4 linked regions of the Mus musculus genome follow. The protein of the gene in region 2 purifies or fractionates together with the protein of the main gene of each other region. This does not show direct contact. Links are inferred from orthologs where the notes say so. Each region holds a gene or a part of one and is shown on either strand. Other genes may lie near its edges. The genes, in order: Nedd1, Cct3, Tle2 and Dcaf7.

Region 1 (7,771 bases), on a different chromosome or scaffold from region 2:
CCTGAGGACCAGCTCACACAGTCCTGCAAGCTGCCAATGGAGAAAAGGTATCCACAGTTCTCCCCTGTGAGCCATAGTAACAGGATACCACACCAGGGCAACAGTGACACGTATCTGGGGAGGAAACCAACAGGGGAGTCATTGGACTTAAGGTCCAGTCAACAGGAGGGAACTCGTGCCAAATTCAGTAAAGCTGGCCAAGACCTCATGGCCGGTGAGATCACAGGCACTAGAGGAGGACCGACTACTGCCATTTCCTTACATTAATACATCTTGCGACTGTATTCAGAAGCTTCAGATAGTCTTACATAGTCACTCACAACTTCCACCAAGGAAAAGCGAGTCAGGAGGAAGCAAGCAAGGCCACCTGAGCAGCTGAGCTTCCAGTCAGTCGGCGCTGGGAACTGAGAACAGCTAACTAGCTATAGCAGAGCCTTAACTAACAACTAACAACTAACTTAACAACTTAACAACTAACTAGCTATAGCAGAGCCTTAACTGAGGAGGATACCACATAAGTCGGGGACCATGGGCTGCAAAACAGACTTTAGCACCACACGGGAGGGCAGACGGGTAAGAAGAGGCTATAACTAATTTGTATGTTACTAATAGGTCACACTAAAGTTTATCAATTTGCTATGGCGTCAACACCAAATACAACATATCCACCTTAAAAGACCTTACTGGAACCACGTCTCTAGACATGTTCAAAGAATGTTAGCCAACGAAGACTCATTAAGGTATTTTTCATTCTTTTAAGAAAAAAAATTTAAACTATTTTTTTAACCAAGGAAAATATCTAATTGACTAATTTTTCTTTTAAAAGGTTTCCATAAAGATTTCCATACTAACCTGAAAATGTATGAGTTGGCTTTGATTATTTTAACTACCACATACTTTAAAAGAAAAAAAAAAAAAAAGCTGTTTGTTTGGTTTTTTTCAAAATTTACTTGCCTCTACCTAAACACAATAATTCCCTGTCCACAAGCACTAAGAATGAATGCACTTATCCATCTTATGGCCAATACAGGTTGAAGGTTGCAATACTTCTGTATCAGAAATGCATTTTAGAATTGTGCTATCTGAAAATATTTTCATTTTGTTAGAAATACAGATATAGTATAGAAAGACTACATAGTTAACTATATAAGTGAATTCATACAAGCACTCTAGTATTACATTACAAATTAGCTAGTTTTCCAGAAAGCTAAATAAAACTTATAAATGTTAAAAAACTTAAACTTACTTTCTTATGTAAAATAATTCAAATTATAAGTTATTAATTTTATTTTTATAAAAACAAAAAACAAACAAAAGACAAAACACCATACCTGCTTACTCCCATGGCCAAAAGGTGTGCTGGATGTATTAGTGGTTACACTGTGTAAGATAATCTCACCACTGAGAGACCCAGAAGCAATGTAACAGTCATTCCAATTGTATGCCACACAAGTTACTTCACATTTATGATCCTGAAAGAAACACAGTGAAGAAGAGCAGCCATTAACCCCCATATTTTGATGAAAAGAGTATGGCTGTTAATCAATACCTGGGCTAAGAGTTTCCTTCAAACACAACAGCACTGAGCTGATTAGGACACCACAGAATCCACAGAGTCTTAAGAGACAATTTTTCAGAACCATCTTACATGTCCACAGAGTCTGAAACATTAACAGTCTAGAACGGTAACTGGCTTAATGCTCACCTTCCAGAACCGCCTGCCTTCCAGTGATGTTGATAACATTTATTTCAAGTTAAACATTTGCTCTTGAGTATTATTGTTCAACTAGAAGACACTAAAATCAGCTCCAAAATGACAGTAAATGAAGAGTGGCATCAAGGGAACACAAGGAGGAAACAGACATCACTGTCAACTGACTTAGAGACATACAACAGAATCCAACCTTAAAGAAAGAAGAAGAGTGGGGACTGGTAGTACACACTTGTAATCCCTACACTAAAGAGGACCGTGAGTTCACTGTACCACATAGAATTCTAGGTTAGCCTGAGCTATATAGTGAGGTCTAGTCGCAAAAGACAAACAAGCAAATAAACAAAAGATCATAGGTGAGTTAGAGATAGGAAAGGAAGAAAAGCAAACATAGCAAAGGAGGAGAAAAAGTAACAGGTCAGCCTGAGACAGCAGATATCAGTGCTCCCACTGGGGCATCACACACTAACTAGCCAATCTTTAAAACTCTTAAGAGGCAATGTCATTTTCCCCATCTACAGATGAGGCACATGAGACATGAAAGCATAAGAGACTGGTGCATCTCACATATGTGCTAAGTGACAGACTAGGATTCAGCTCCAAGACAATCTCCAGGGCCCTTGGCCCTCCCAAAAGAGACTGTCTCCCAAACACGCACAGCATCTACTCTGAGGGATTAAAAAGACTTACAAGACTTTAGTTTACAAGGTTTGCTTCCAAGCATCAAATTGGACATGTAGCAGGACATGTAACCCTGATGTGAGTTACAAGGGTGGCATTTTTGTTTTGTTTTTTTAACAATTTTAGTATTCTGTCATTTACTAAGATAAATATCCTAAACTTGATACAAAACAAGTAATGGACATCACACTGCAGTACAACTTTATCAGGTGATTCCCCACTTCTATCACAGCACAAATGCCTGAGGGGAAAACTGATGGGCAGTGCTGACCTAGGGAATTAAGAGCGTGTCATTCAACAGAATGTCTGTGCCTCTGGAAACAAGCACTGTCTTCCCAATTTCCATTGTGGAAAATACATCGCCAGGAAACACTATGCACTAACCAATGCCAGAGATTGTTTCACATCACCAGGGATAAGAGCGTAGATAAAGAACTCAGGGCGGAAAAAAAAAGTCTCATGGATGGGGAAATACGACTTAAAATAGACAATAAAGCATTCTATGAATTCCAAATGATGTGAAAACAAAAGGTTGTCTGCATTACGAAAATGGAGGAGAGGAAATGAGTAGAAGGTTGCCATATAGGAATCAAGCAAGCGAAAGCCAAAAACTCTGACAATCTGGTCCAAGACTCAGCTCTTTCAGTTTGGTAAGATACTCCCTATACAAAATAGGCATATCCCTCTAAGCAGTGTGAATTCACATAGTGCACAACTGAAAGACTGACCAAAGAGCAAGGTGTGTATTTGCACAGACCGCCACTGTGGAGTGGAGAGAATACATATTCTTTGACATCTAACTCGCATGAGAATGTTTGCTGCTTTGCAGTCACTGAACTAAACAGTAAGCACTCGCAAGCTAGCATAGTAAGGAACGACGAGACAAAAGCTAACTATTTCATTAGTAGCAACTCTTCAGTTTCCTATTTTATTCTAAAAAGAGTTTAAATACACTTCAAAGTTTAGCTAGGCATAAAACTATAAATTTCCAAAGGTGCCACAAAGCTACTACAAGATCCCATCTCAATTTAACTTTAAGAGAGAAGAGGAAGAAAAACAAAAACCAAATGTCTGGTATATCCTACAAACAGTCCAACGACGGGTGAGGACACAGATGAAACATTACTGGCCACAAAATGCCTACTAATATCAGATAATGAGTAACATGGTTAACAAACAGTTAAAGGGAGGTCTTCTCTGTGTATATAGGAGAGTACATAGATACAACTATTTAAATTTTTATATTAACTACTTATAAGTGACAAACTTAGAAATAACTTTGTAATACCTTCTAAATACTTAAAAAAGCTGGATGTCAAGCTACGGAAGTCTTGACCACACTTTCCTGAGATGAATATGTTTATTTTTTGAAACTACAAAGAGCTACCTAAGGGAACACTGATTTTAATTAGTAAATTATTTTAAGAACTATTCCATTTCCAAGTTTAAAAATATGCAAGCAAAAATATCATCAACAGTAGAAGCCAAACCCACTGAAGAACCAAGAAGCTGAACCATCAACTCTGGTTACTGAAGTCCAGAACCACACACATTTTCCCAAAATCCTTAAAAACAAGATCCCTGATGACAAAACCACACTTAAGAAAAAGAAAACCTCGAAGAATACTTCATTCAAAACAATAGAAACACATAAAAAATAAAGAAAAGGCAACATGAATCAACAATTTTTATGAGGAAAACTTTCAGCCAGACAGCACCCGTATCTCCCCAATAAAGCCCACTTTGACGCTAAAGCATCCAATATCGAGGACAAGGTTTGGTAACCATCCAAACAGGGTGTGAGCTACCCATTCCATAAATATTTATGATATATTTGCTTACCTTAAGAGACCGATGAAGTCGTTTGGACTTTAAATCCCAAATATTAACAGTGTTATTTAGGCCTCCACTTGCCAAATACATTGATGTAGAATTTAAATCGACACATGTCTGCTTTTGCTATTTAAACAAACAAACAAACAAAATTAGCCTAACAGAGTGCAGAGATGATCATAAGCAATCTACTTGCACTGCAAATCAAAGTTTCCTAATAGCCATTAAAATAACTTTTAAAATAAGTAGATAAAGATGGTTTCCACCAAAGGTTGATATATTGGATGCCAGCTGTCACAGGTATAATTATTGTTAAGGGTTCAGAATAAAACCCATACTTAAGATTAGCTTACCTTGTTGGTAGAAGACCTTTAATGTATTTTAATGAATCTAATGAACTTAAATAATTAATAGAAATTGTATGGTATTATAGGAATACTGTATCTACAAGATAAAAATATTAAAACGTAGTTTTTAAATCTAAAAACAAGGTGATCAAATTTCAAAGTTATTTTGTAGCCCACAATAGCCATTATAATATCGTTAATACCAATCTGTCCACTTCAAAGAGGAAAACAAGAAATTAAAAACAAAACCAGGAACCTAAATTTTCATTCTAAAAATATTTTAAAATAAGTAGGATGGGAATTTCTTTCCCCAAGTGTAAAGGCACAATAGCTCAAGTAGCATGTGAGTTAACAAAGCTGGGGGCCCACAAAATAATGACTACAGCCCTAACATGGTAAAAGAAGTTCTTAATAAATTCCTTTATTAAAAAAACTGCTTGCAAAAAGCTCTTATAACTGTAGCACATTCAAACTTAGAACTCTAATGAACATTTCTTCACCTGCTTTATAATGTAATGCCTTAAAGTGGGAAGGGCTAAAATTATACAAATGAACAGGAATATTCACCAAGTTCTCAGAATGACTCACATCTGTATCTGTCATCTGCTATAGTATTAAAGCAAAAATAGAATCGGAAGTATCAAAGTACAAAGTATACTACTTTTCTTTAATGGGAGGAATTGGACTTGGTTTAACTCAGGCCTTTGATCCAAACACTAAAGAAGCAGAGGCAGGAGGATCTCGACGACTTCAAGGCCAGCCTGGTCTAAATACCAAGTTCCAGGTACTAAACAGCAGCCAGAACTACACAAGAGACTCTGTCCAAATAAACAAACACATAATCAAATAAGTTAAAAAAAACAAGTGGGCAGAGGCGCTAAACGCTGACTTGAAAACCCAGTGTGACAAAGCCCAGCCAGTTGTGAGAGTTGGAGGAACTGACCTGGCTTTAATATTAAATTCAACAGCAGCTTGCTGGCCACCCTGAAGGGACCCAAAAGTCCCAAGATCGCTATCACTCCCATCTTGAAGAGTTCGGTAGCCCAGTCTGCCTCAAACTCCCCCTGTACCTTTGTCTCTAAGCCTCCACACCTGTGCTGGAAGTGAAATTTAAGTTTACCAAATGAATGAATGAATAAGTAAAAAAGGAAAAAGCAGCAGCAGCAAGGAGCGACAAGGACCTTGTCGTTAGGTGCCACTCTCTTTGAAGAATAGCTTTTTGAATGTGAGACTGGAAATGAGGAAAATGGTGTTATCCTGAATAAACTTTTAAAAACACAGGGATAAAGAAATACCCAGTGAGAGCGAGAGTGTCCCTGTGTGCCGTGGGCCCAGAACTCCCTGAACGCCCTACCCCTCCACTCCAGCCTTAAGGAAGCACATCCTTGAGTGCTGAGTGCTCGTCATCTAAAGCAGAAGGCTACCTGCAGAACCAGACCCTGCTGCTGCTGCTGCACCCACAGGCAACAGGAACACTTACATCATGAGGGTTCACAAGGTCAAGTCAACCTAGTGGCCTAGTCGTGCACTGACAAAAGGGGAAACAGAGAGAGTCCCTTCCTAATGAAATCTAAGGCCTAAACTGCTCTCCTAAATCATTATAATCTCACCTATCAACCTCTCGGTAACCCCACCTGTTACTGTATTATTCAGAGTTTAGATGAAAAATGTTTTTAAACAAAGACGCATAACAAACAAGTCACGGTCACTTAAGCAAAGCGAGATTGTAAGCAGGTTAAAAGCATGTAACTTACCCCTTCCGCAAGCTCCAAAAGTGGAACGGGCTTACATTTGCAACTTGACACCACTATTTTGTCACCACTGGAAGAAGCTGTCACTAGAAAGTTATCTAAATGAAGAGTTAAGCAGCATCAAGCAGTCCATGGGCACCCGGGACACCCAACTACAGTCTCAGGAGCACAGTCATGTAAGCCAGCATAGAGACCAGTACACAAATGCGGCTCATATACCAGCTTTCAAAATGATTCCGGCTACCAACTACTGATTCTCTTTTCCAGGTCTGCAGGGATAACCATCCCTCTGACTACGCTATCATTTGAAAGATACTTAGCCCATGAGAAACACTACTCCCTTCCCAGAGTGGGCCAGGTCTAAGTTTACCCTTTCAGATGTGAGAACATGAGAAATGCAACAAACAGAAATAATAATCAGCTTTTTCATATACAAAATCTGTTGAGGGACTATTCTATCGATCAAGCGCTCAGTATCATCTTCAGCATCCACATCACTTTCCTACTTCTTCCAACTGAAAAATGAAGACTGTTCTTTTCTCAGGATTAGAATCACTGCTGTAGACGCTTCAACTATGAATATATTATTAATGAATATTATAGAGCATATAGTAAACATGATTGGGTATGGTCAAATAAAATCTATGTATGCTATGCAAATTTGAATTATTTTCAGTTAATCTTAAAACTTTTATTTTACTCTATATTAATTATACATGGGTAATAAGTAAGTATAAAACAACATATATTAAACCAAAATGATTAAATAATTTAACCAAGAATAAGAGTCTGGTTTGGAAAGTCACAGCACGTTAAAATATCATAGTGCTTTACATTGATTTGTATGTGTGTGCGCACATCCACACATCACATTCCAAGGGTGAAAGGCAGAGGACAACTCACAGACGTCATTCTCTCCTCCCACCGACTGGGTCAGCTCATCAGGTTCAGCAAAGAGCATAGGAATTTTAGACTTTCTACTTTTAGTAAGCAAAGTCTATGCATGGAAACAACGGAAGCAGCTAGGTAATTCTTATTCCATTATTTTGACATTGTGCAGAGTATCCTGGTATTTTATGACTAGATCACAAGTTTTGGGGGGCTTCTGTAGCCTAGAACAACCTTCAAACTCCGGTCCTCCTGCTTCCACTTTGCAAAGGCTAAGGTTACAGGTGTGTACCACTGTGCCTGACTTAACATCATGCTTCCAATCAGGCTTCACTCCTGCTGGGCAAGCCTCTACCAACTGAGCTACACCCCAGACAGAGCACTACTTTAAAAAGATAAGAAAGTTTATTTAGTTTGAACCAGGTCTGAACTCCACTGGAGTCAAGGCTAAGAGTATCATCTTCTACCCTAAGAATGGAGTCTCCAAGTAGCAGCTAAGCCATCAACAGGTACCAATCTTCATAAGAACCGAGTCCAATTCTCTGGCTTGTGGACTGTCA
Region 2 (8,213 bases):
CTGCCTGCCTCTGCCTCCCGAGTGCTGGGATTAAAGGCGTGCGCCACCACGCCTTAAATACAACCTTTAAAGCTTTTGCACAGTTTAGTACTACAAACACCATAGTGACTTAATCATGTCCTCTGAAGATAGATTCTAAGGCCTAAACCTTCTGACCCATGAACCCATTTTCACTTGGAAGGTGGTCTTTGTAGATGTATTCAGTTAAAACAAGGTCATACAGGTTTAACGTGAGTCCCATCATTCTTTTACAAATAAAGGACACACAAGAATTTTAGCAGCATACGATGGAAACAGAGGCTCTGCACTTACAACAGAAAGGACTGAGAAACATTATTAACTGGCATAAGAAACGAGAGATTCTTACTTAGTCTTCAGAACTAGGCCCCACTGAAACCTTGATATCACACTTACAGCTTCAGTTCATGGGAAAATTACGTTTCTAGTGCATCACCTTATTTTGTGGTGCTGGGAATTGAATCTAAGTCCTTCTGAATGAGAAAGATGCACTGTAACAGAGATATATCTTCTAGCCTCCCTTTGTGAGACAAATTATTGATACATAGCTCAGACTGTCCTCCAATTACTCTTCTGTCTTCATGCTGAGAAGACAGGCATATACCACATCTGGAGTTTGTTTTTTAAGACAACCATAGCAGACTAGGCAGGCATAATGTTCTGAACCTATTGTCCCAAATACTCAGAGGCTTTGAACCTGCAAAATTAATCTCAAATCCCTAATCCTCCTACCTTTACCACCTAAATACTGAGATTAGAGGCACACTGCCATCATGCCTTGATAACCCTTGGATTTCAGACAGGGTTATTTTAGCCCAGGATGATTTTGAACTCATGATCCTACTTCTTCTACCTCTGGTCCCAAAGTGCTGAGATTAGAGGCATACAACACTATGCCCAGGTATCTATATGTACCTGAATAGGTTCTTGGTATTTGTAAAACTGTTAGAAAGGAGGTGAGAAAACAAAACAACAAAACCAAACACACCTCTCGAAGAATGGCATTGCCATCATTGGTCATCACGATGCCTCCCATTGGGTCCAAAAGCATCTAAGAAAAAGCAAAAGTGTTACAGATAACAAAAAAAGGAGGACATGGGGTTTGAATTCCAATAAAAGGTAGTCCAACCTTCATCATAGATTTAGGTCCCAAGCAGGTCCGGATGATGTCTGCAATTGTCTGTTGGTAAGGAAACACAAAACAAGAAGCACAGCAGAGAATAATGTGAGTGTTTCTAATAACCATTGTTTTGTTTTAAACAGGGTTTACCTAGGTAGCTCCGACTGGCCCTGAAGTCAGAGACAGGCCTGCTTCTGATTCTCGATGATAGGATTAAAGGCATACTCTACCATGCCCAGTGCATAGCCAGTGTTTTAAAGACTTATTTTTATGGGTATGAGTGTTTTGCCTAAATATATGTTTGTGCTTCAAATACATGCCTGGTGACCAAAGAGGCCTGAAGAGCATGTTGGATACCCTAGAACTGGAGTTACAGGAGGTTGTAAGCTACCACCTGGGTTCGGGGAATCAAATCTACGTCTTCTGCAAGAGTAGCAAATACTTGGGGCTCAAGAGATGGCTCAGTGGTTAAGAGCACTGACTGCTCTTCCAGAGGTCCTGAGTTCAATTCTCATCAACCACATGGTGGCTCACAACCATCTGTTATGGGATCTGATGCCCTCTTCCAGTATGTCTAATAGTGTGGTGGTGCATGCCTTTAATCCCAGCACTCGGGAGGCAGAGGCAGGCTTATTTCTGAGTTCGAGGCCAGCCTGTTTTACAGACTGAGTTCCAGGACAGCCAGAGCCACACAGAGAAATCCTGTCTTGAAAAAAACAAACAAACAAACAAACAAACAAACAAAAAAGAGTAGCAAGTGTTCTTAACTATTCAGCCATCTCTCCAGCCAGTGCCACTGTTTAACAATGGCACTTAACGACGAGAATGGTAACTATTTTAGACACAACAAATAAATTTTCAGAAGCTATTTCAGTTTTAGTGTCCTAAGAGTTCAGCATTAATACTTTTATTGACAGTGGCCTCTGGTCCACATGAAATCAAGACTTCTAATCATTCACTCAAAAATATACTTACTGAGCTCAGAGTGGTGGCACATGATTTTAGCCCCAGGATTTGGGAGACAGAGGCAAGTAGATCCATGAGTTCAAGGACAACCTACTATACGCAGTAAATTCTAGGCTACCCAAACAAGAGGGGACAGGGCTCTTTCAGAGGACCTAGATTAAAGTCCTAGCACTGATACGGGAACTTTCACAATGGCCTGTAGCTCCGGTTTCAGGGGGATCTGACCACCTCCTCTATGCTTCCATGCCATGTACACACATACATACATGCATGGAGGCAAAACACTCCAACAGTAAAGTAAAACAAGCAAATCTTTTAAAAACCTCCCTTCCTGTATCACCACCAGGGAAATGCCTTGGAAAAAAAAAGCAAGTTTTCCTCTGCTCATTGTATGAAGTACAGAACCATAGGAAGTTTGCTACTACCAATAAGGAAGTATTAGGAGAGTCAGCCAGAACAAACTGCTGTTATCTCATAAAACATGCACTACCTTTGCAGCATTGATATTTCCAGACTGAACTTTTCTTCCAGATTCACGCTTTGTGTTCTGACCTAAAACAGACAAAAACACATGTCAACAGCCCAGTGTACACAATCATTTTATTTCCTAACTTAAAAAAAATGCTACATTTTAATGTATATATCAGGTGTACAAATGCTTGGCAAAACTGTGAGGTCAGAAAACAACTTTCAGAGTTAATTTTCTTTCTATCACATGGGTGCCAGGGATCAAACTTGGTCATCCAAGTCAGGTAGGGTGGTGCATGCCTTTGACCCCAGCACTTACGGCAGAGTCAGGAGTATCTCTGTGACTTGGCATATATATAGAGAACCTGCCTCAAATGAAACAAACAAACAAACAAACAAACAAACAAAAATAGCAACAACAAAAAGACCTCCAGTTATTATTAGGCTTAGTGTCAGGAGCTTTTTTTTTTTTTTTAAACCTGTTGAGCCATCCTACCACCAACCCTATTCATCAAGTTTTGAAAATAAAAATAAATACAAAGTTTTCAGTGTATAACCAGCAGTCAATTACAACTGTTTAAGGTTGAGCGTGGTAGCATATGCCTTTAATCCGAGCACTGATGCAGATGGATTTCTGTGACTTGAACACCAACCAACTTGGTTTATAAAGTGAGTTAGTTCCAGGCTAGCCAGTTACGAAGTGAGATGGCCTGGTAGTTAAAACCTTTGGAAGCTCTTGCAGAGATCTCTGCATTCATTTCCAGCACCAACATGGTAGCTCACAATCATCTCTAACTACAGTTCCAGGGGATCTGATGTCCTTTTCTGGTGTCTGCAGGCACAGACATAGAGGCAGGCAAAAAACACAGATAATGAGAGAACCCCCGGTATAATAAGAGATAACCTGAAATGCTTCAACTTCATAGTCTTGACCAGTACTTTCCTTGTATGCATGCTTACATATTTCCAGTGATTCATATCTTGAGTGCCCTGAATGGGCCTCAGTAGGACAGTGATTTTTCACAAGACTGCACACCCCTTACAACATCCCCGGGAAGAGGAGCCACAGAGTCTCAAAGATTAGTGACCAAGAAAGTCTGCTTGTGAGGCTGGAAAGATGGTTCAGCTTCAATTCCCAGCCCCTCAAGGTGGCTCACAACTGCCTGTAACTCCAATTCCAGGGAATCTTGGTGCCATACACAGACGAAAACAAACAAAATATCAATCACAAGCCAAGGAATCTCACGATAGAACAGGAAAAAGACTAAAGCCTGAGAGCCACCCTGTAGGTAAACTTCTCTCAGGAGACTAGAGCAGAAAATAATGACTTCTTACAAATCTGGCCTGCTGCTTAAAACCTCATGGACTCGTCTACGAGTGTGTAGGAGAGGTAGTGTCACTGAACACCTTTGTCTCTCCTCCCAGTGTGGCCAGACTAAATCTGTTTTTCTCTTTACTATGTTTAACTTTGACCCAGGCTTACTGAGTTATTCTCAATAGCTCAGGTAACTGACAAGGAACTGGTGCTCTTTACTGAGATGAGTGGCGTTCCCTAAAGAGGAAAGAAAACCAGGAAAGGAATTTGGGAGAACTGGCTGGTGGGAAAGATCACATCCAAGATCGGGAACGCCAGGAATGTCATTTCCGAACAAGGGTTGCTGAATGACCGCTACTGAAAAGATGCCACTTCCGATTCGATCTGCCGGTAAAGGCAGCTTTTACTTATCAACTTAACAACTCTACTACAGCCTCCTAAATACTGATGCTAAAGTATCAATCAAGCGAGTTGCCGTTAAGTCACGCCTCTACGGAGGGATGGACCGAGCATAGGAAGCAAGGCCTACCGTTAAGAACCATCATTACTATCTACACGGAAATCATGCTGTAAAGGACACGGGGGCGTGGAGGGTGGCGACTAAAGAACCGAACGCGAATAGGATGAAGCACACGTAAAGACTAGCGACTCCGAGAGCGGAAAGTCATTTTGTCAAAAGAAGGCGACAGGAGAGGCAAGAGAAGAAAAGTGGGGAAGGAGCTTGGTCCAAGGCGAAAAGACCACTGGAAGGCACGAGGGCCGAGTCATGGCGGGACGGAGCTGGGCAACACTGGCCAGCTTGGGGAGAGAGGGGCGGAGAGAGACATCCCTTCCCTGAACTCACTGAGCACGAGCACTGGACGGTGGCCCATCATGGCGGCACGACGCAGAGCCGACTCTCCAGAGCTGGGGGGAATCGGCAGAACCTTCTGGAGAGAAGAGCAGCGAAGAAAACGCTGCCTCCTCAGGAATGACACAGAAACCTGCTAACCTCTGAAGTGCCGCCAATCACCAAACTCATTTTATTGATTGACAAAAACATAGGCCAATCGACAGTATTAGCCCCGCCCTCTACGCAAGAAAGGCAAGGCAAGTTAGATAGAGAGGGCATGATGTAGGGGACTGGGAGACGCAAGCGCTTGCGCACTGGCGTGGCCGCTCCCGGCCGCGTGCGGCCAGAATGTCTGCGCAAGCGCCAAAGCACGGGCAGTTAGCTGGCTCGCTACAGCGCATGAGTACCCACTAGAGGGTGGGTGCTGGGGTGGAGGCTTTGGATTAATGCTGTAGGTAAGATCATGAAGCTCTGTTTTGTCCATCGGTTCTCGTCCGACCGTGAAGGCCAAGGAAGGCATGATAGTTCTCTACTTTTTATTTCAGCCTTAGCGGTAGGGAGGAGTAGAGGAGCCAGAAATACCCGTCGTGGCCCGAGAGATTGAGGCAGTGTAAAAGTGGAAGTTGTCCTACGGGGCGGGGAGGCAACGACTCGGCTCCCCGCCTCCCCGGAGCATGCTGGGAGTTGTGGTTTACTGCTCTAGACGCGCTGGTTTTCTTTTTTAAAGAAAAGGAAGGAAAATTCTTGTTCTTTAGATGTACCTATTTTTTATTTTATGTGTATGGTTGTTTTGCCTGTGCGTATGTAGGTGCACCACTTGTGAGAGGCGATCAAGCGGGAGTCTGATCCTCTGGAACTGGAATTGATTGTGAACCGCCACGTGGGTGCTAGGAAGTAACCCTGTCTGCGGGACCATCTATTGCTCTTAACTGTTGAGCTATCTCTCCTGTCCTAATGTCTTACTTCTTAGAAAAATACGTTGAGTCTAAGGCAAAAAGACATAAAGGAGGATCGCTCACATTTCCCCCGAATATCCTAAGTCGTGTTTCTTGCAGTATTATGAGTCTTCTTCGCCCCCTCCCCCCCAGCCTGGTCACTGGTTAGTGACAAAAGAAACTAGAGTTTTTGTTTTTTTAATTACCGTATTATCTTTACCAGAGTTCTAAGGCTGGCCTAAAACTCGTCGTAAAGACCAGGCTGATCTCAAACTGGAGACAAGCCTCTTGCCAGATCACCCCATATAGGAAAAAGACAAAACAAAACAACAAAAAAAATAAGGCTAGTAATTAAACAGAAGTCTCAAAGAGTCATGACATGTTTGTGATAGATTTAAAGTTCGTATTTGGTATGCTTTGTCTTCTGCAGTGAAAAGGCACTAACAAAAACTGCCGAAGGGAATTGGAGAAAAATTAACAATTTCAGAACAGTTGTTTGTTTGGTGTGGTAGCACACCCCTGTAATAAACTCCAGAGGCTGAGTCAAGAGGATAGCGATTTTCAGTGGCTTCAGTCTCCCTGGACCACATAAGGGAGGCAGCCTGGAGGGAAGGCTCAGTGGGCTTAGAGGGTATATTGCTCTTGCAGAGAACCTCAGCACAATTCCTTGAACTGATGTCTGGCTGCTCACAGTCACCTCTCACTCAAGGGAGATCTACTCATATATGTACATATTCACATAATTAAAACTTAAAAATTTTACATTTAAAACCAGACACCTCTATGAGATAGTGTATACACTGTTATATACTGTTACACTTCGGGCTTTCAGGGGAGTGCTTAGGAAAGAAGACACTGTTGTTTGACCATGTGACCCTATTATTCTTTCCCAGGCACCAGACCTGTTGCTGTCAAGATGGAGCAGCACACTAGTAACCCTACTAAGGAAAAAGGTGTGTCACAGCCCCTGTGTCCCCTCCCTCAGAAGCCAGCCTTCCCCATTCACTCAGGGTTTCAGAAATGAAACTAAGGAAAAAGGTGTGTCACAGCCCCTGTGTCCCCTCCCTCAGAAGCCAGCCTTCCCCATTCACTCAGGGTTTCAGAAATGAAACTAAGGAAAAAGGTGTGTCACAGCCCCTGTGTCCCCTCCCTCAGAAGCCAGCCTTCCCCATTCACTCAGGGTTTCAGAAATGAAACTAAGGAAAAAGGTGTGTCACAGCCCCTGTGTCCCCTCCCTCAGAAGCCAGCCTTCCCCATTCACTCAGGGTTTCAGAAATGACTAAACATTTGCCACTAAACAGTGGCCTGCTACTTGGTTACTTGGAAAGTACTTGTGGGATATTTTTGGGTAAAGGAGATAGGTTTAACTTTGCTGGCTATGGAACTCACTATCCTTACTTGAGACAACCCTTTTGCCAGAACAGTCACATCCCAGGGATTATAGGTATGACCTACTGTGTCCAGCTTTTTTTCTTTTCTTTTCTTTTTCCTTCTTTCTTCTTTTTAAAAGAGTTGTTATATAGACCAGCATGTCCTCAAACTCGAAACAGTCCTGCTACAGCCTTCCCAGCTGCTGAGTTGACAGGCATGTACTACCTACCTGACTTTGATGAGTTATTTTTATAGCACTTGTAAAGTGTCACTAAGTAGATCACAGCTTTGCTGCCTAGAGACCCTGGCTTAATTCCATGCAACTGCCATGTGCCAGTTGTGGAATCCTGACCAAATTTTATTAACATGGGATTCCTCAAGTACAATGCTGCTAATACTGGCTACCTAGGACCATTGAAAAGGATATGTCGGGGCACTGCAGAGGTGGCTCGGTGGGTAAAGTCCTTGCTATGCATACCTGAGGATCTGAGTGTGGCTCCTCTAAATCATATAAAAGGCCAGATATGAGCCGGGCGTGGTGGCGCATGCCTTTAATCTCAGCACTCAGGAGACAGAGGCAGGCAGATTTCTGAGTTCGAGGCCAGCCTGGTCTACAGAGTGAGTTCCAGGACAGCCAGGGCTATACAGAGAAACCCTGTCTCGAAAAACAAAAAAAACCAAACAAACAAAAAAAAAAAAGCCAGATATGGTGGCATATGTCTGTATCCCAGTACTTATGGAGGCAGGGACATAGAGTAAACAGGTAGATCCCTGATGGCTATTGATGAGACAGTCTAGCTGAAATGATAAGTTCCAGGTTTGGTGAGAGACCCTTACTCAGCAAAATAAAGCAAGGCTGGGTGTGGTGAGTTCCAGAACATCAGGGGCTACAGAGAAAACCTGAACCAACCCCTCCAATAAAACAAAAAAGAAAAAAATAAAGTGGAAGGGACAGGAGAGATGGTTAAGAGCACTGGCTACTCTTCCAGAGGACACAGGTTCAATTCCTAGCACCCCTACATGGCAGCTCACAGCTTTCTATAACTCCAGTTTCAGAGGCTCTGAATGCTGATACCCTCTTCTGGTCTCGGAGAGCACCATACACATGAAACTAAATAAATGGAGAGCAATTGAGGAAGATACCTGATGTAGACCTCTGGTTTCCACATACATGCACATACACAAGCA
Region 3 (7,300 bases), on a different chromosome or scaffold from region 2:
CTTCTGCCCCATCCTTCCAAGTGCTAAGATTACAGATCTGTGTCACCGTGTCCTGGAGGGACAGGGGTATCCCTGACATGTGAAGGGTTGATAATGGTACTGCTCTGGATTGGAGACTCCTGGGGTCTTTGATGGTTAGGAAGGACAGGAAATGTGAAAGACCACTATAGCACATCCATTGAAGGTTCAAGAGACTTATTAGAAATTGCCACCTAGGGCTAGTGAGATGGCTCAGCGGTTAAAATCACTGACTGCTTTTCCAGAGGTCCTGAGTTCAAATTCCAGCAACCACATGGTGGCTTACAATCTGTAATGAGATCTGATTCCCTCTTCTGGTGTGTCTGAAGACAGCTACAGTGTACTTATAATAAATCCACTGTGGTACACAGAGGGACCCAAAGTGTGGGACTCTGTAACAGGAAGTGTCTAGGACAGGAAATGTCGAGCTGGCCTCCATTTGGGGGAGACCAGGTACCTGAAAAATGCTGGCCCCATAGGGTGTCCTCCAGGCATTGAGCAGGTTGTCCTTGCCTGTGCTCACAAACCAGCGTCCTGAGATGGGAAGGGGAGGGGGCAGAGGGGAGGATGGGAGTGACCACCAGGGTAGGAAACCTTAGAAATTCACTCCTTCCTGAAGCCGCCTACTATGCAGTATCAAAAAGCTGAGAGCTGCCAGGCAACATGGAGTGTCCTTGATAGCTGTCTTTTTTTTTTTTTGAGACAGTTTTTCTGTGTGGACCTGGCTGTCCTGAACTGGCTCTACAGGCCAGGCTAGCCTTGAACTCAGATCTACCTGTCTCTGCCTCCCGAGTACTGGAATTAAAGGCATGCAAGTCACCTCGCCTGGTCCATCTTTTTTTTTTTAAATGTGTCTGTGCATTTATCTAAACTGGCTTTGACCTGAATAAGCAGCTGGGTGGGCAGGCCTGGGTAATTCGTTATCTAATTTAAGGCTTCACCCCCATCCATCCACCCTCCCTCTGCTGTGCCAAGGGGTCTCCCAGGCTTGTACCACAGGAAGCGAACTTGAGTGACAGCACGCAGCTCTCATGGAGGCGGAGCTGGTACTTCTCAGGCTTGCGCACATGCAGGACCTCCACGTGGCTGCTCTCCATCCCCACAGCCAACCAGTCCTGATTGGGACAGTGGCCCAATGAGAAAATCTAGGTCAAGAGAGAGAGTGCTGAGACCCTGGGGTCACACATGATGCTGGAAGAAGGCCCAGGGGTGCCCCAAATGGGGACAAGAAGGTGGCCAGTGACAGGTGTCACACCTTAGCATTCATCAGAGGAACACAGCACCTTGAGATTCTGGGCAGAGGGAGCTGGCTCTACAGGTGGCTCAAGGTCCAGGGCTGAGCCTTGACTGTGTCCTGCTTCTGACTGATGGGGAGTCAGGATCAGGGGTAGAAGCTGCAGTCACTCTTAGTCTAGCAGTGGTTTTTTATTTGTATTTGTATTTGGGGGTGGGTTGAGACTGTCTCACTATGCAGCTCTGACCACCCTGGGACTCACAGAGATCCACCTGCTCTGCCTCCCATTGCTGGAATTAAAGACATGTCCTGGGCTGAAGAAAGGTCCTGAATTCAATTCCCAGCAACCACATGGTGGCTCACAACCATCTATAATGGGATCCGATGCCCTCTTCTGGTGTGTCTGAAGACAGCTACAGTGTACTCATATAAGTAAAATAAGTAAATCTTATTTTTAAAGGCGTATGTAAGGCAGTCCGTCTCCCACTGACTATTCTGACCCTCCAGCTCTCGGCATGCCCAGGGTTATAGGCAGGTTTTTTATGTCTGTCTGGCTTTTTATGTGGATTCTAGAGATTTGAACTCCTGCCATCAAGGCAAATACTTTACCCACCAAGCTGTCTCCTCAGTCCCCGTGTCCTATCCGGTTTCAGGCCGGGTAGGGACACCCTCGGGGAGGCCGAGGATTGTGAGCGCACCTGGGAACTGAAGTCATGCTGCTGAAGCTGGCGGCCCTCGCGCAGGTCCCAGCAGCGCACAGTGTTGTCCAGGCCCCCAGTCCACAGCCGGGTCCCGTAGTCTGATATGTCGATGCAGCTGGCCCCGTCCGTGTGGCCCTGGAACTGTCTACAGGGCGAGAGCAGACGTCCAAGACTGCAGTCACCTGTGCACTCACCACCCCCGGGGCCGCCCCACACACCTGACCATGGCCTGGTTCTGCAGGTCCCAGACCACGATGTTACCGTCGCTGCAGCAGGAGAAGCAGACCTTGGCGTCCGGACTGACGGCCAGAGCATAGCAGGCCGGGGCAGACGAAGTCAGCTCTGCTTTGATCCGTGGTGTGGGTGCTGCCAGGTCCCAAATGGACAGGGTACTGGCCTCGCCACCTACAATCAGGCTCTGCCCGTCGGGCAGCAGCTTGCAGGAGCGGATGTAGTTGTCTCGGTTCTACCACGGCGAGAAGCAGGGCCAGGCAGGGTTGGTACTCCCCCAGGTCTCCACAGATCCATGCGTTACTGTAGGCCCCGCCCTGACCCTAAAGACCTGGCTTAGCCCCTACAAACCCCACCCAGCCTTGTAAACCCCGCCCTAACCCTAAAGACCCTGCCCAACGCCCCCACCCCAAACCCTTACCCAGCCGCACAGGCCCCACCCTCACCAGGCAATCCAGCTGTGCCACAGGGGTCTTGCTACCCGGCTGGCCCACGTCCCACACCTTCACGCATCCTTTGCCGCCTGTGTACACGTGCTGTGTGGAGCTGCTGATGGTGACGGCACACACCACCTCACCGTGGGCCAGCGTGTGTAGCTGCCTTGCGTGGCGAGGGATGCCTGTGCCTACCAGAGCATCAGACGGGAAGGGCACAGGCTGCATCTGGCCATCCGCAGACACGTGGAAGGAGTAAGCCCTGTGGAGGCCGCAGAGACAGGTGGGTGGGTGGCTAACCCCAGCACAGGTACCCACACTGCCAGTGACAGGCACTCAAGGTGTAACCCAGGGGACATTCCCAGGAAGAAGGGACCCAGGCCTCCAACACACCCTGGAGATGGCCCAGCCCATGTGCTACTCACGGCTTAGCCACAGGGATGCCAGGCAAGGAGACAGACGAGCCTCGGAGATGGGGGTGCGATTCAAATGCCATCTGCTGGAGAACAGAGAGTCCCAGGGCAGGGGGGCCAGCACCTCTTCACCCAGGCCCCAGCCCACACCCCTCTGTCCCTCGGCCCCTCCCCAAGCAAGCAGAAATGCTTGCAAAATTGCTATTTGGATTTTTTTTAAGTAACCTCCTGGGCCAGGCTTTTTAACCCAGCTTTATTCCTTTTGTTTTGCCCACATGGCAAGTGCTAACTTAATGTGTGGTTTAGGCTGGCCTAGAACTTCTGATTGTCCTGCGTTTGCCTCCTGAATGCTGGGGTGACAGGCTGGCACCACATGCCTGGTTTATATGGTGCTGGGTATGTACCTGGGGCTTTGTGCGTGCCAGGCGAGCGCCCTACCACTGAGTTCAGTCTCAGCCTCTCTCTTTACTTATTCTTTGGGTGAGTTGGTTTCTCCTCCTCCTTCCCCACCCCCCAGATCTCTGAACTCTGCTGACTATCCTGGTGCTCCATTCCCCAAGGACTCACCAGAGGTGAGCGTCCATACACGACAGAGCTGCTGACCTGGGGGGACAGGTGGAGGCCGACATAGGAGCCAGGCATGGAGAGGTCCCCATTGAGGGTGCTGTGGGAGCCCAGGCTGAAGGATGAGGTGAAAGGGCTGGACAAGGTCAGGGGACTCCTCAGGGCTGAGTGAAAAGGGACACACACTCAGATACCCAAACCACACTTTCCCTGCCTTCAGCTGATGAACAAAGTCTTTCAAAAACCCAGACCCAGTGAGAGGAAAAGCCAAGGCTCAGAGAGGCTGGGCGACTAGCCTGAGGTCACACAGCTAGTGAAGGCACACGTTTGTCTCACAATCATTAAACTGGGAAAGTCACATTGGTGTTCTGGGCTTCAGTGTCCTCACCTAAGCAGCAGCAACAAAGAAACTGAGCCCAGAGCCAGGCAGCACCCGGTCGGGGGTTATAAGCAGTTCCAGGTGGTAAATTTGGGGTGTGCTGTCAGTCAGCTTCTCTAGCCCTTTATCTTTTTTTCCTTTGGCATGGCCTTGGTAGGGACAGACTGACAAGGTTCCTGCTCCTGGGACAGGGCAAGCAGATGTGGTCTCCAAAAGCGTCGAAGGCTGCCAAGGCCAAAAGACTTGCGTGCATACTAACAGATAGATATTACATTCCTCCTTTAAGGAATGTCCTCCCTGTTAACAGGAGTGACTCCATGATAATCAGACATCTCTGAGTCCAGGAGCGGAAGGTGTAGCCAATATCTTAGCAAAATGGTAAACTCAGGAACCTTCAGGACAGTCTTTAAGGCTGTGGGAAAGAACTCTAAAAACCCAAGTTTGAAAATACATAATTTCTCAACTATGCAAAAATATAAGGATGCAATAAAAATTGTATAAGGAGCCTCATGAATCTAAAGGAACAGAGGTAGCTACACTAGGAGCCAGCTTGTCAGAATGATAAAAAAGCAAGCAGACTCCTGAGTTCAAAGTCAGCCTGGAATACAGACTCCAGGCCCAGATGTGGTAAAAATGGTAATTTCAGGTGTGTGTAGGGGGGGAGGGTTCCCCCCACTCCCCAGCTAGCTCAGCATCTATGCTTAACAGAGGCAGGCAGATCTCTAAATCCTTTTTGCAATGTTAAAAGGAAATGTGTGCTTGCTGTCTCCTAAAGATTAAGGGGCTGGGGTCACAGGGTTCATAGGATAATCAAGAGGAAGTAAACGACTGGGTTGACACGGAAAATAAAAGCCTGGGCTTATGACCTGCAGGAGATGAGCTAACCAGAGAAAGGTTTTAGAATACCAAGAGAAAAGTTCTTGGAGAACTGTCTCAAGCAGAAAAAGGGGGGGGGGGGCGCCTGACTGGAGATCTCCAAAGAAAGCAGGTCAGGAAGAAAGGACAGGACAGAGAACAACACAGGCCACCAGCTTGGACCCACTGTTTGACTTCATTTGTTTTCAGCGCTCCCAGACACCCCTTCTCTCAGAACCCCTCTCTAAGCCAAGGCTGGCTCTTACCACCTTTTTTTTTTTTTTCAGACATGGTTTCACTATGTAGCCCAGGGTGGCCTCTAACCCACCCAGGATTAAAGTCGTGTGCCAACTCTCATCATTTCTGTTTGGGGGAGCTATGCTGGGCAGGTGGGGACTCACCGATGCTGTCTGTGGGTGCTGCCGGCTGAGCCGCCAGCTGGCAGAGGTGACTGGCTGAGCTGGGCCCCGGGGTGGACGAGTCCTGGGGTGGAGAGGTACCACATGACCTGGAGGCAGGAGTGCCTGTGGGAAGATCGTTCTGTGGAGAAAGAAAGGCCACGAATCACCATAGCGGGCTGAAGTCATCAGAGGGGATCGAGGGCACATGTACTGTGGCCAGCCAATCTCTCAGACATTTGGTGGGCACACAGAGGAAAGCTGGGTGTGACTGGGTCAGGGGTATAACTACATCCTCAGGATTGTGGGTGTTAATTGGGTCCACAGTACAGGGTTCATGCATAGAGGTGGGGGCCCTTGGGGACAGCAATTGTGTTACCAATAGATAGCAGCAGCAACGTTAGAGGCTATTGGACTGGCAAAATGGCTCAGCAAGTAAAAGTGATTTTAGCCAAGAGTTACACTCTGTATTGAATCCCCAAAACCCACACAGTAGAAGGAGAGAACAGACTCCCCAGAGTTGACGCTAACCACCAAATGCATACTACAGCACTTGTGTAGATACACACACACACAAAGTTTTTAAAAAAAAAAAATTTTTTATTTGGTTTTTCAAGACAGTGTCTTTCTGTTTAGCTCTGTCTTTCTAACTCACTCTGTAGACCATGCTGTCCTCAGATTCAGAGATCCTCCTGTGTGCCGTGATTAAAGACACGCACCACCACCACCTGGCTTTAAAAAATGTTTTAATTTAGACATGGCCACATGTGGTGGTGCAACCTTTAATCCTAGTTCTCCAGAGGTGGGTGGATCTCTGAGTCCTGGGCCAATCTGGTCTATATAGCGAGACCCTGTCTCAAAAGGCAATTAACAAAAATCACAGCTCCCAGAGCAATGGGACTATTGGCCCAAGAGGGGTCCTCAGCCCTAGGTGAAACATGTCACCCACCTCTTTTTGGGAGCATGTTTCATGAGACAGGGCTCAGGTAGCCAAGGCTAGCCCTGGACTGACTTTACATTCCTGTTCTTCCACCTCCAACCTCTCAGTGTTGGGCTGACATGTGCCACCATGGGGAGCCGCCATGCCTTCTGGCCTGTGTCTGTCTCCCACACAGGGTGACGGTGACCCTCGTGGTCTGAGGGATGCCCTTGATGGCTTCCCCAGCTGGCTAGAGTGGCTTTGCATCCCCAAGGTCTCTCTGAGTGGGGAGGAGTTTAGATAAAGTGGGAGCCCACGGTGGCTGGCAGTTGTCATGGTAACCTGCAGGGGTAGGGAGGCTTAGAAACAAATCTCTGTCCCTGGGTAACTTGGAGGACAGAGGGTCTGGGCAAGATGCAGGGAGAGAGTTAGACTTCCGTGCATCTAGTGGACGCCTCTGCTGGATTCTAGGAGCACTTAACACTGGTACCAAGTCTTAGACCAGCGAGGAGCCGGTGCTGTGGTTGTGGGGGTCACCATTGCAGAAAGCGAGTAACCTGACTCAGTCCTATTTCTTTGCCCAGCTTGGTCAACTAGCTGCTTTAAAGTAGTTTCCTGAGGCTCAACAGAGACGTGTGGGAGGGGAAAAGAGAAGCCCAAAGAATCAAAAAAAAAAAAAGGTCCTTTGTGGTAAGGGAGGCAGGAGGGTTGGGATTCAGTGTCATCCTAGACTACGTAAAGAGTTGGAGGCTAAGAAATATTGTCTCCCAAACAAAACAAAACCAAAAACCAACAAGCAAAACCAAACCAAACAAAAGCAAGCAAACAAAATGAATAAGAAAATGCAGACTGCCCTGGCCCGGCCCGGCTGGCTTGCTCACTGAACTGTTTGCACCCTGGGACGAATAAAAGGGGCTTCAGGCACCCTGCCTTCCTTACCAGGGCTATGTCTTTGCTTCTGGGGAGTGGTGAGCCCAAACTGGAGGCCAAGGAGGCTGGACTGTCTGTGAGGTCCCTGCGGGCAGGAATGCAGAGGGGCGCCTTCCCACAAGGGGTGGTCACAGGGCTGGGGGGCTCTGACGGTTGGTCCTGAATTCAAGAAGGTGACATTGGGTTGGGGACCAGTGAAGCAGGAAAGACTCCCACAGCTGCCA
Region 4 (7,771 bases), on a different chromosome or scaffold from region 2:
CACATACAAGTCCCCTCTGTGGAACCCATACACCTAACGGAAACAGACACGCGAGGCCTGTAAGTCAGCATGGCCAACTGCAGCCTACAAAGTCCAATACTGCTCATAACCTTAACTGAAGAGAGGGCAGGTGCCACAGGCGTGGAGAGTCTTAGCTGGCTGGCCCTGAGTCTACCTTGGCTGATTTGCTCATCATTTATGAGAACTGCCTGTCTGTCACAGTCTAAAGATCTTGTTCAGGGTCAAGCACAGACGGTAGCTCCCAGGAAGTCTCTTATTCAGAGTACTCAATCCAAAGATGGGCCAGTGTCCCACCAGGTAGAGGAGACTCAGCAAACAGAAACACAGAAGCTTAGCTGAGAGATCTCTCTTGCCTATCATTCAAGTTCGAAACTGGAAAAATAGATTCTGAAACCAGGTACTGGAAACACAATATAAGTTCAGCTTTCCTGAACATGATTCTCCTTCCGCATGACCCCTAGTCAACTGCTTATCTCAGCCCCACAGGGTACTCAACTAGTGAAGCCAGAGAAAGGGACTTGAGGGTGAACAGAAGCCTCCTGCATCTCCTGGGCCTCCGAGGGCCTTCAGGAGACCCAGGCTGAGAACGGTTGGTGAGTCAGTAGACTTCAGAGCACCAGCGCAGTTGTCAACTCCCGGTCAGGGGTCAGGGCTGTGCCCCACAGGCAGTGACTCAGGAAAGCAAACTGCTCGTGGGGTCTAGGGTCCAGTACCCACTGCAGGCACTGAGGGAAGAGAGGAAGGTACAAAGAGGGAAATCTGTGAAATCAAGAAACCAGAAAGGTTAAATTCTTTTCATAAAAAAACTAGCCTGATAGATAAAAAACATACAAAGTTGAGGTTTGTTAAAAGACACTGGTGCCAGGAGGAAAGACAATCTCAAGTTGGCCTTTGTTCCCACTTAAGTGCTAGCACGACACAGATGGGGACACGAGATGGATGACTGCCTCAGCAGCAGACAGACAGACATGGGCAAATGGACACAGACAGAGCCAGTGCTTGTACTGTTTATGAACACAACAGCTGACAAACAAATATACAGAAACGTTTAATTGAAGAAGCAAAGAAGAGGAAAGGAGTGAAAATTTAAAACCCAGCCCTGGGCTGCAGTGGCGCCACACAGCACAGTCCAACACAGACAGCGGGGTAACTGGCCTGGACTTCTACAGCAGCTTCTGAACACAGTGGGTGTAAAGCAGCAGTAGACATACTGGCCACTGGGAACATGTTCTTCTTACATGGGAGGGAAGGGGGCAGAGGCTGAAGCACACAAGCCCCTGCCGGATACGTGAGGTGCCACCAACACTACACGCGGAGTATCTCCAGGCAGTTGTTGTAGCAGATAGCGATCCAGTCAGGCTGAGTGGAGGCCCACTGCACATTGTTGATCTCTCCCTCAGCTGTGTAGGCCAAGATAGGGTCCTCGATGGCCCGAGGCATCTGCTGGATGTCCCAGATGAGGGCCTGATGGTCATCCGCTAGGGAAAAAGCAAGCAAGAATGTCATAGCTCAGGCAATGGGGTAACAATCTTGCATCTGGAGAGGCAGTCACAATTTGTGAAACATTTGTTCATCAAAGCTTTGTGAAAGGGCTTTATTTTAGAGAAGAGGAAACCAAGATTTAGGAATGTCACCAGACTTGCTCCTTCTTGCCATGTAGCCAGTGAGGACCAAATCTAGGTCCTGACTCCATTTCCCAGGTGTCATTAAGCTCCATTTACTATACCAGGGTTAGAGAATTAGATCAGGACATTGCAGTCAGGAATCAGGGAAGGACACGGGATACAATGACCCCAAACTATGATGTTACTGACAGCCACTAAAAATACTTGCGTGGATAAAGATGCTTCTCTGATGACTGTTTCCCAGTTTATGTACATTTACATTTCAATGAGTTACACAGATGGTTGACATAAAGTGCTATATAAACATACAACATTAAAAAAATTCCACCCATGCCTGTAACCCCAGCATTAGGGACTGGGAACAGAGTTAAGTGATAGAGTAACTCTTATCACGTTCAAAGTCCTAGGTCCAATCCCCAGCACCATCAGAAAATAAATAAAAAACCTGAACTATTGCCAATGAATGTGTTTTGCTAGGTGTGGTGGCACATGACTGTAACAGCATTCTGGAGGCAGAGGCAGGGGGACTGCTGCCATTTGGAGCTCAGCCTGATAAATACAGCGGGTCACTACCTGGCAGCATTATCCAGCAAGACCCTATCTCAACAGAATAAATAACAAAACTAACACAAAACCTTAAGACCCACCACAGTCACCTGGCCTGATACTTCCTCCCGCCATGGTTACCTGCAGTACAGATGTGGCAGGACGAGTGTGGGGCCCAGGCAATGCCATTGACACATGCTCGGTGGTTGTTTAGCCTAGCAACCGGTGTGCAGGGAACTCGAACATCCAGAATCACCACCTGCAGAAATACAAGAAAAAGGCCCAATAATTGCAGAGTGTAGCAGGAAAGCACTATCATGAACACAGCACTGTAAGCATGGTCTTTTCCTTTATGGATCCGAGAACACTAGAGATAGGGTTTCCTGATGGAGAAGGGAAGAAAACAATGAGCTAACACAGACCATGTGTTCTCCTTGCTGAGAGATTGGGAGACTATAAAGAGACTGAAGGAGAAGGGGAAGCAGGAACAGGCCACGTGAGTTAGGATAATCTACAAGCATCTTTGCTAAGGGCCTGTGCATCTTAGTTAGGTCTCACATGCCTTATCAATGCACAATCCGGGATGTAAGAACTCTGAGGCACAAGCTGCACCCAAACCAAGGCTAACTACTGTATCCTCTCGACCAACAATCCACCCCTCATAAGAACTAGCAGACCACAGAGCTGCTGTCTGAGCATCTGCCTGGAGAGTCGGCCTAGAACACCAAATGGGAAGGCCTACGCTTTCATTCAGTCCCAGTAACTGTGACTTGGTTTAAATTCTAGTCACTTAGATGTCACTCGTCTAACCCTTTTTTCTTTATCGTGAAATGTTTATTTGCATTTTTAAAATTAGTTATATAACTAATTCATGACAAATTACCAGATGGATTTAATATTATTTCTTCAGGACTAGAGTTTTTCAATGACTTCAAATTTGAAGCTGGGAAACATACGCATACATGTGTTTAAGCTTAAAAGGCTCTTGCACACTCTGGGCCAGGACAGCAAGTCCTCCATATGCCTGTTGCTCTGACTTACACTCTTATCTCATCCTTGAGGTTTCTGTATAGGATCAGCTTCCTTATTAAACACCACATTCCCAAAGAGGGAGGCCACTGAGCAAACGACAGGGACGAGCATGAAGAACTCCAAGAATCATGTTGACTGTGGTGTCTGCACTGAGTCCCAGGCTGCAGACGCACCACCACTCTTCGTCTCAGCTTTACTCTAGCAGAAATGTATGTATTTATTTATTTATTTACTTACTTACTTATTTTTGAGACAGGGTATCTCTATGTGGCCTTGTTGTTCAGGAACTCACTCTGTAGATCAGGCTGGCTTCAAAGTCACAGAGATCTGACTGTCTCTGCCTCCCAAGTGCTGAGATTAAAGGTGTGTGCTAACATGGCCAGCAAAAGTTTATTGGGTTTTGTGTGTGTATGCATTTGTTTTTTGTTTGTTTGTTTGTTGTTGCTTCTTTTTTGTACTGGGGATAGAACTCAGAGCCTTGAGCATGCTAGACAAGCACTCTGCTACTAAGCCACATTCCACCATATCAGAGATCCTTACACAGAAGGCTGTGCAATGGCAGTGAGTTTGCAGTTACCTTAGGATGCACAGTAAGTTCCAAGCTCATCTGGGCTACAGAGACTCTGTCTCACCAAACAAGCAGGGAGAAGGCTCCGAGTCCTTTTGTTGATGGGATCCTCAGTCAGGCCCCACTGGCCCTTGTTGTGCACGGACACTGTTGGGGACTTTGAGGACTGCAGAATGAGAGCAGCCTTCGTAGTCATTACCCATGTGATGCCAGGAAGACTCCACTCTCTATTTTTTTTAACCTCCTCCTTTTATTTTATTTTATTTTATTTTATTTTTTTACTACACACTCTAACTTTTGACAATCAAAAACATCTCCTTATATTTCCAAAGATATCCTGGGCATAAAACTGCCACCATCTAAAAGCTACTCTTGTAAATATACTGGACAGACTGGAGTCAAGGGTCAAGGCTCGGGGCTTACCTCCATCCCGTCCATGGCCATGGTGGCCAGGTAGTTAGGGTCCTGCTTGTTCCAGCAGAGGCGAAGCAGGGGGTGGTGCTGTGGGTCTTCATAAATGATGGTGCTATGTTCCAGATGGCGGAGGTCAAACATTCTCACAGACCCATCAGCGCCCACAGAGGCAAACATGTCCCTGCCCCCTCCAGCGCGGCTGAAGGCGATGTCATAGACCTGTTGGGGAGAAGGTCCAGATTCAGCTCACAGCGTGGACGGCTGTCATTTCCAGACCATCTGAACCCCAACTCACCACACAGCAGGTAAGCGAGTGGCTTCTCAGAGAATACACATCATCCTACCACAGACACTGGCTGACTTCTTCCCATGCCCTGCTTCCTACTTCTCCTCTAAAACCCTGAGATGCTCTCGCTGACTAGCACAGCACACGGGGGTCTGAATAGGACTCTGTATTTTCTGGCTATTAGTGGTTTCACTTACACGCAGTCAGATGCCGATTCACGATAAATCCACATACGGTTCTACCAAGCTGGCCAGCTATAAAACCTAGACCTGAGATCCATTTGTATGAAAAAGGTAACATGACTTTTGGTTTTGTGTTTTTAAGAGGGCAACTGGAGGTATGGCTTGGTGTTTAAGAGTACTTGTTGCTCTTGTTGAAGACCCAGGTTCAGCTACGAGTGATCTGTAACTCTGGAATGGAGGATGACACCCCCTTCTGGCCTTCTCATACTATACACACATGTGGTACAAGGACATACATACATACAGGCAAACACCCATACACATAAAATAAAAATAAATAAATCTTAAAAAATAAAATCTCTTGTGGCCCAGGTTGGTTGGATACGTGGTAAGGGCTGTGGTGTGTGTGTGTGTGTATGTATGTGTGTGTGTGTATGTATGTGTGTGTGTGTGTGTGTGTCCGTCCGTCCGTCCGTCCTTATGTAGTAGAACAGCACCAGACAAAGCCTTTGTCTATCTAGTGCGTCAGGCCTAAGAAGACAGGGTCTTGTTATGTAGCCCAGGCTGGCAAGCTTTAGACGGTTTTATCTTTACCTCCTATGCACTAGAATCACAGGCATCCAGGAACCCATCACTCTTTCCTTTTCCTGTTGTTTTAAGACAGGGTCTCATATATTCCAGGTTAGTCTTAAACTTGCTATAATATAGCCCAAGATGACTAAGAACTCTTGATCCGGGCTGGAGAGATGGCTCGGTTAAGAGCACCAACTGCTCTTCTGAAGGTCCTGAGTTCAAATCCCAGCAACCACATGGTGGCTCACAACCATCCGTAATGAGATCTGACATCCTCTTCTGGTGCATCTGAAGACAGCTACAGTGTGCTTAGATATAATAATAAATAAATCTTAAAAAAAAAAAAAAAAAAACCTCTTGATCCTCCTGCATCTGCCATTCAAGTGATAGGAGTACAGACATGTGTCACTATACCTGGCCCTTTTGAATCAGTCAATCTTACATAGAGTATTTTTTATGGTTAGAGGAAAAGGGGTTAGTATATTGATCAGAAATAGATGAGGATCTACTAGCAGTATTTGTCCCTGAGTATCAAGAGTGGACAAAGGACCTACTTTTTTTTTTTTTAAAGATTTGTATTTTATCTATATGAGTATTTTGGCTCCTTGTATGTATGTGGACTGCATGAATAGCTAGCATCTGCAGAGGTCAGAAGAGGGCATAGAATTCCCTGGAACTAGAATTATAGATGGTTGTGAGCTGCCATGTAGGTGTTGGATTGAATCTGGGTTCTCAGGAAGGGCAGTCAGGCTCTTAACCACTAAGCCATCTTTTCAACCCCAGACCTTACTTTTTATTTATTTATTTTTATTTTTATCTTTTTTTGGTTTTTCAAGACAGGGTTTCTCTGTATAGCCCTGGCTGTCCTGGAACTCAGAAATCCGCCTGCCTCTGCCTCCTGAGTGCTGGGATTAAAGGTGTTTTTTTAGTTTTCAAGACAGCATTTCTCTGTTCCTGGCTGTCCTGGAACTTGATCTGTAGACAAGGCTGGCCTCAAATCAGAGAACCACCCGCTTCTGCCTCCTGGATTAAAGGTGTATGTTACCCCAGCCTGGCTTCAGATCCTCCATTTTTAGTGAGATATTCTTATCTTCCACCCTGATGTCAGTTGTCATTATTACCAAGATTCTAAAAAGTTTGTTCTGTGTTTGGCATCTGCTGTCCTGTTGGCTCTAGGTAATCCTCAGGCAGAGACACCAGGAATGCCCACTGTGTGGCTCGGAGCAGAGACTCTCTCAGCCTAGGTAACTGCTCTGCTATCTATCTGTGCTCTACCTGTGGGGTTCATCATGAAAGAGGAAAGGTGGCAACTTCCAATGCACTAAACTCTCCTCTACTACACCTGCCAGGCAGCAAACCTTCCCTCCTCCTCTCTCACCACATGCACACGCACACACACACACGCGCGCACACACACACACACACACACACACACACACACACACACACACACACACACACGGCTTTCCCTCAGACAGATCTGCCATCCCCAGGCTCCTTCCTTCAGGTCTGCCATTTGCTTTGATCCATTCCTGCTCCTCTTGCTCTTCTCTGGGTCACAGAGACCTGACTGCTACAGGTCAAGTTTGGATGGGCCCCAAATTTGCTGTCTGCTTCTAGATAGTTTAGACAAAGGAATGAATCAGAGGTAGGAAATTGGATTCTGGGACATTTCCACAAGTTCTTTTAGTGGTCATCTCTGCAGACACACTCTGCATTTGACCCTTGGCTTAGCAGGAGTCAAGTCCCATAGTCTTGCAAAAGAGCTTCCTCTCAGGAGAGCAGAACACCAAAGATCAAACCCTCGGAATGGCTACCTGGCTCCATGATACTCTGTTGATGGCCTTAAGGCATCGTTTCTCCTATACAAACCCTGATACTACTCGCACTGCAGGTGAAGGGGCAGCAAAGGAACTAAGACAGGGGCACAGGCACTGTGGAAGCAGACTTATGCTGGCTTCCCCAGTCACCAGAGGAACGCTCCCCTCGCTTTCCTGATAAACAGCGGAAACACCACCAATAAACACACTTGCCTCCTAACAGGACCGACCGAAAGTAGAAAGAGTAAGTAAATGTACTAGAGTTCACAAGCTGGTTTCAGAGAAAAGTGGTTAATTACGATTGTCTGTCATGAAATTTTCCTCCTTCCTGTTTCCCCCCACCTCTGAGAAGCCATTACATTCAGAGAGAAGTGTTACTCTAAACAGCTCCTAGGATATCTATAAGAGACTTCATCTAAAAAAAAAAAGCAACAAACTTTGATATGAAAGGAGAAATGAGACTCTAGGTTAGGTGGTTAGAGTCATTTAATGATGCACGTTGGGGGTGGGGGGAGGTAGCTCAGCCATGGGGTAAAAGCACCTGCTGTTCATGCCTGACAACTTGAGCTCACTCCTTGGAACCACAGTGGGAGGAGACATCTGCCTGACTCCTAACGCGTGCACCATGGTACACACGTGCCTGCACATATACACACTTTCTCTCTCTCATAATAATAGCAATAAATAAAACATGTTTTAAAGGG

What was found.
Region 1: the proteins of Cct3 (region 2) and Nedd1 purify together in Homo sapiens (affinity purification with mass spectrometry; 3 studies listed by BioGRID and IntAct, with this or other methods). This does not show direct contact. The link is inferred for Mus musculus from reciprocal best matches to the Homo sapiens genes CCT3 and NEDD1.
Region 3: the proteins of Cct3 (region 2) and Tle2 purify together in Homo sapiens (affinity purification with mass spectrometry; 3 studies listed by BioGRID and IntAct, with this or other methods). This does not show direct contact. The link is inferred for Mus musculus from reciprocal best matches to the Homo sapiens genes CCT3 and TLE2.
Region 4: the proteins of Cct3 (region 2) and Dcaf7 purify together in Homo sapiens (affinity purification with mass spectrometry; 4 studies listed by BioGRID and IntAct, counting the BioPlex papers as one, with this or other methods). This does not show direct contact. The link is inferred for Mus musculus from reciprocal best matches to the Homo sapiens genes CCT3 and DCAF7.

Annotation. Positions count from the first base shown.
Region 1 is NC_000076.6:92,709,840-92,717,610, forward strand, and holds part of Nedd1 (protein NEDD1), read right to left. Parts: intron 6,422-7,771; coding exon 6,327-6,421; intron 4,352-6,326; coding exon 4,235-4,351; intron 1,473-4,234; coding exon 1,332-1,472; intron 1-1,331. UniProt on the Homo sapiens protein: Required for mitosis progression. Promotes the nucleation of microtubules from the spindle.
Region 2 is NC_000069.6:88,293,785-88,301,997, reverse strand, and holds the start of Cct3 (T-complex protein 1 subunit gamma), read right to left. Parts: upstream 4,864-8,213; 5' UTR 4,763-4,863; coding exon 4,732-4,762; intron 2,657-4,731; coding exon 2,595-2,656; intron 1,199-2,594; coding exon 1,148-1,198; intron 1,070-1,147; coding exon 1,007-1,069; intron 1-1,006. Other genes in the region: Tsacc (TSSK6-activating co-chaperone protein), read left to right, coding at 6,571-6,607, 7,165-7,239. UniProt on the Homo sapiens protein: Component of the chaperonin-containing T-complex (TRiC), a molecular chaperone complex that assists the folding of actin, tubulin and other proteins upon ATP hydrolysis.
Region 3 is NC_000076.6:81,582,672-81,589,971, reverse strand, and holds part of Tle2 (transducin-like enhancer protein 2), read right to left. Parts: intron 7,236-7,300; coding exon 7,086-7,235; intron 5,370-7,085; coding exon 5,231-5,369; intron 3,760-5,230; coding exon 3,599-3,759; intron 3,118-3,598; coding exon 3,044-3,117; intron 2,881-3,043; coding exon 2,631-2,880; intron 2,420-2,630; coding exon 2,172-2,419; intron 2,099-2,171; coding exon 1,951-2,098; intron 1,164-1,950; coding exon 1,013-1,163; intron 553-1,012; coding exon 476-552; intron 1-475.
Region 4 is NC_000077.6:106,048,411-106,056,181, reverse strand, and holds part of Dcaf7 (DDB1- and CUL4-associated factor 7), read right to left. Parts: intron 4,426-7,771; coding exon 4,216-4,425; intron 3,495-4,215; exon of another isoform or gene 3,254-3,494; intron 2,452-3,253; coding exon 2,334-2,451; intron 1,500-2,333; coding exon 1,327-1,499; 3' UTR 1-1,326. UniProt on the Homo sapiens protein: Involved in craniofacial development. Acts upstream of the EDN1 pathway and is required for formation of the upper jaw equivalent, the palatoquadrate. The activity required for EDN1 pathway function differs between the first and second arches.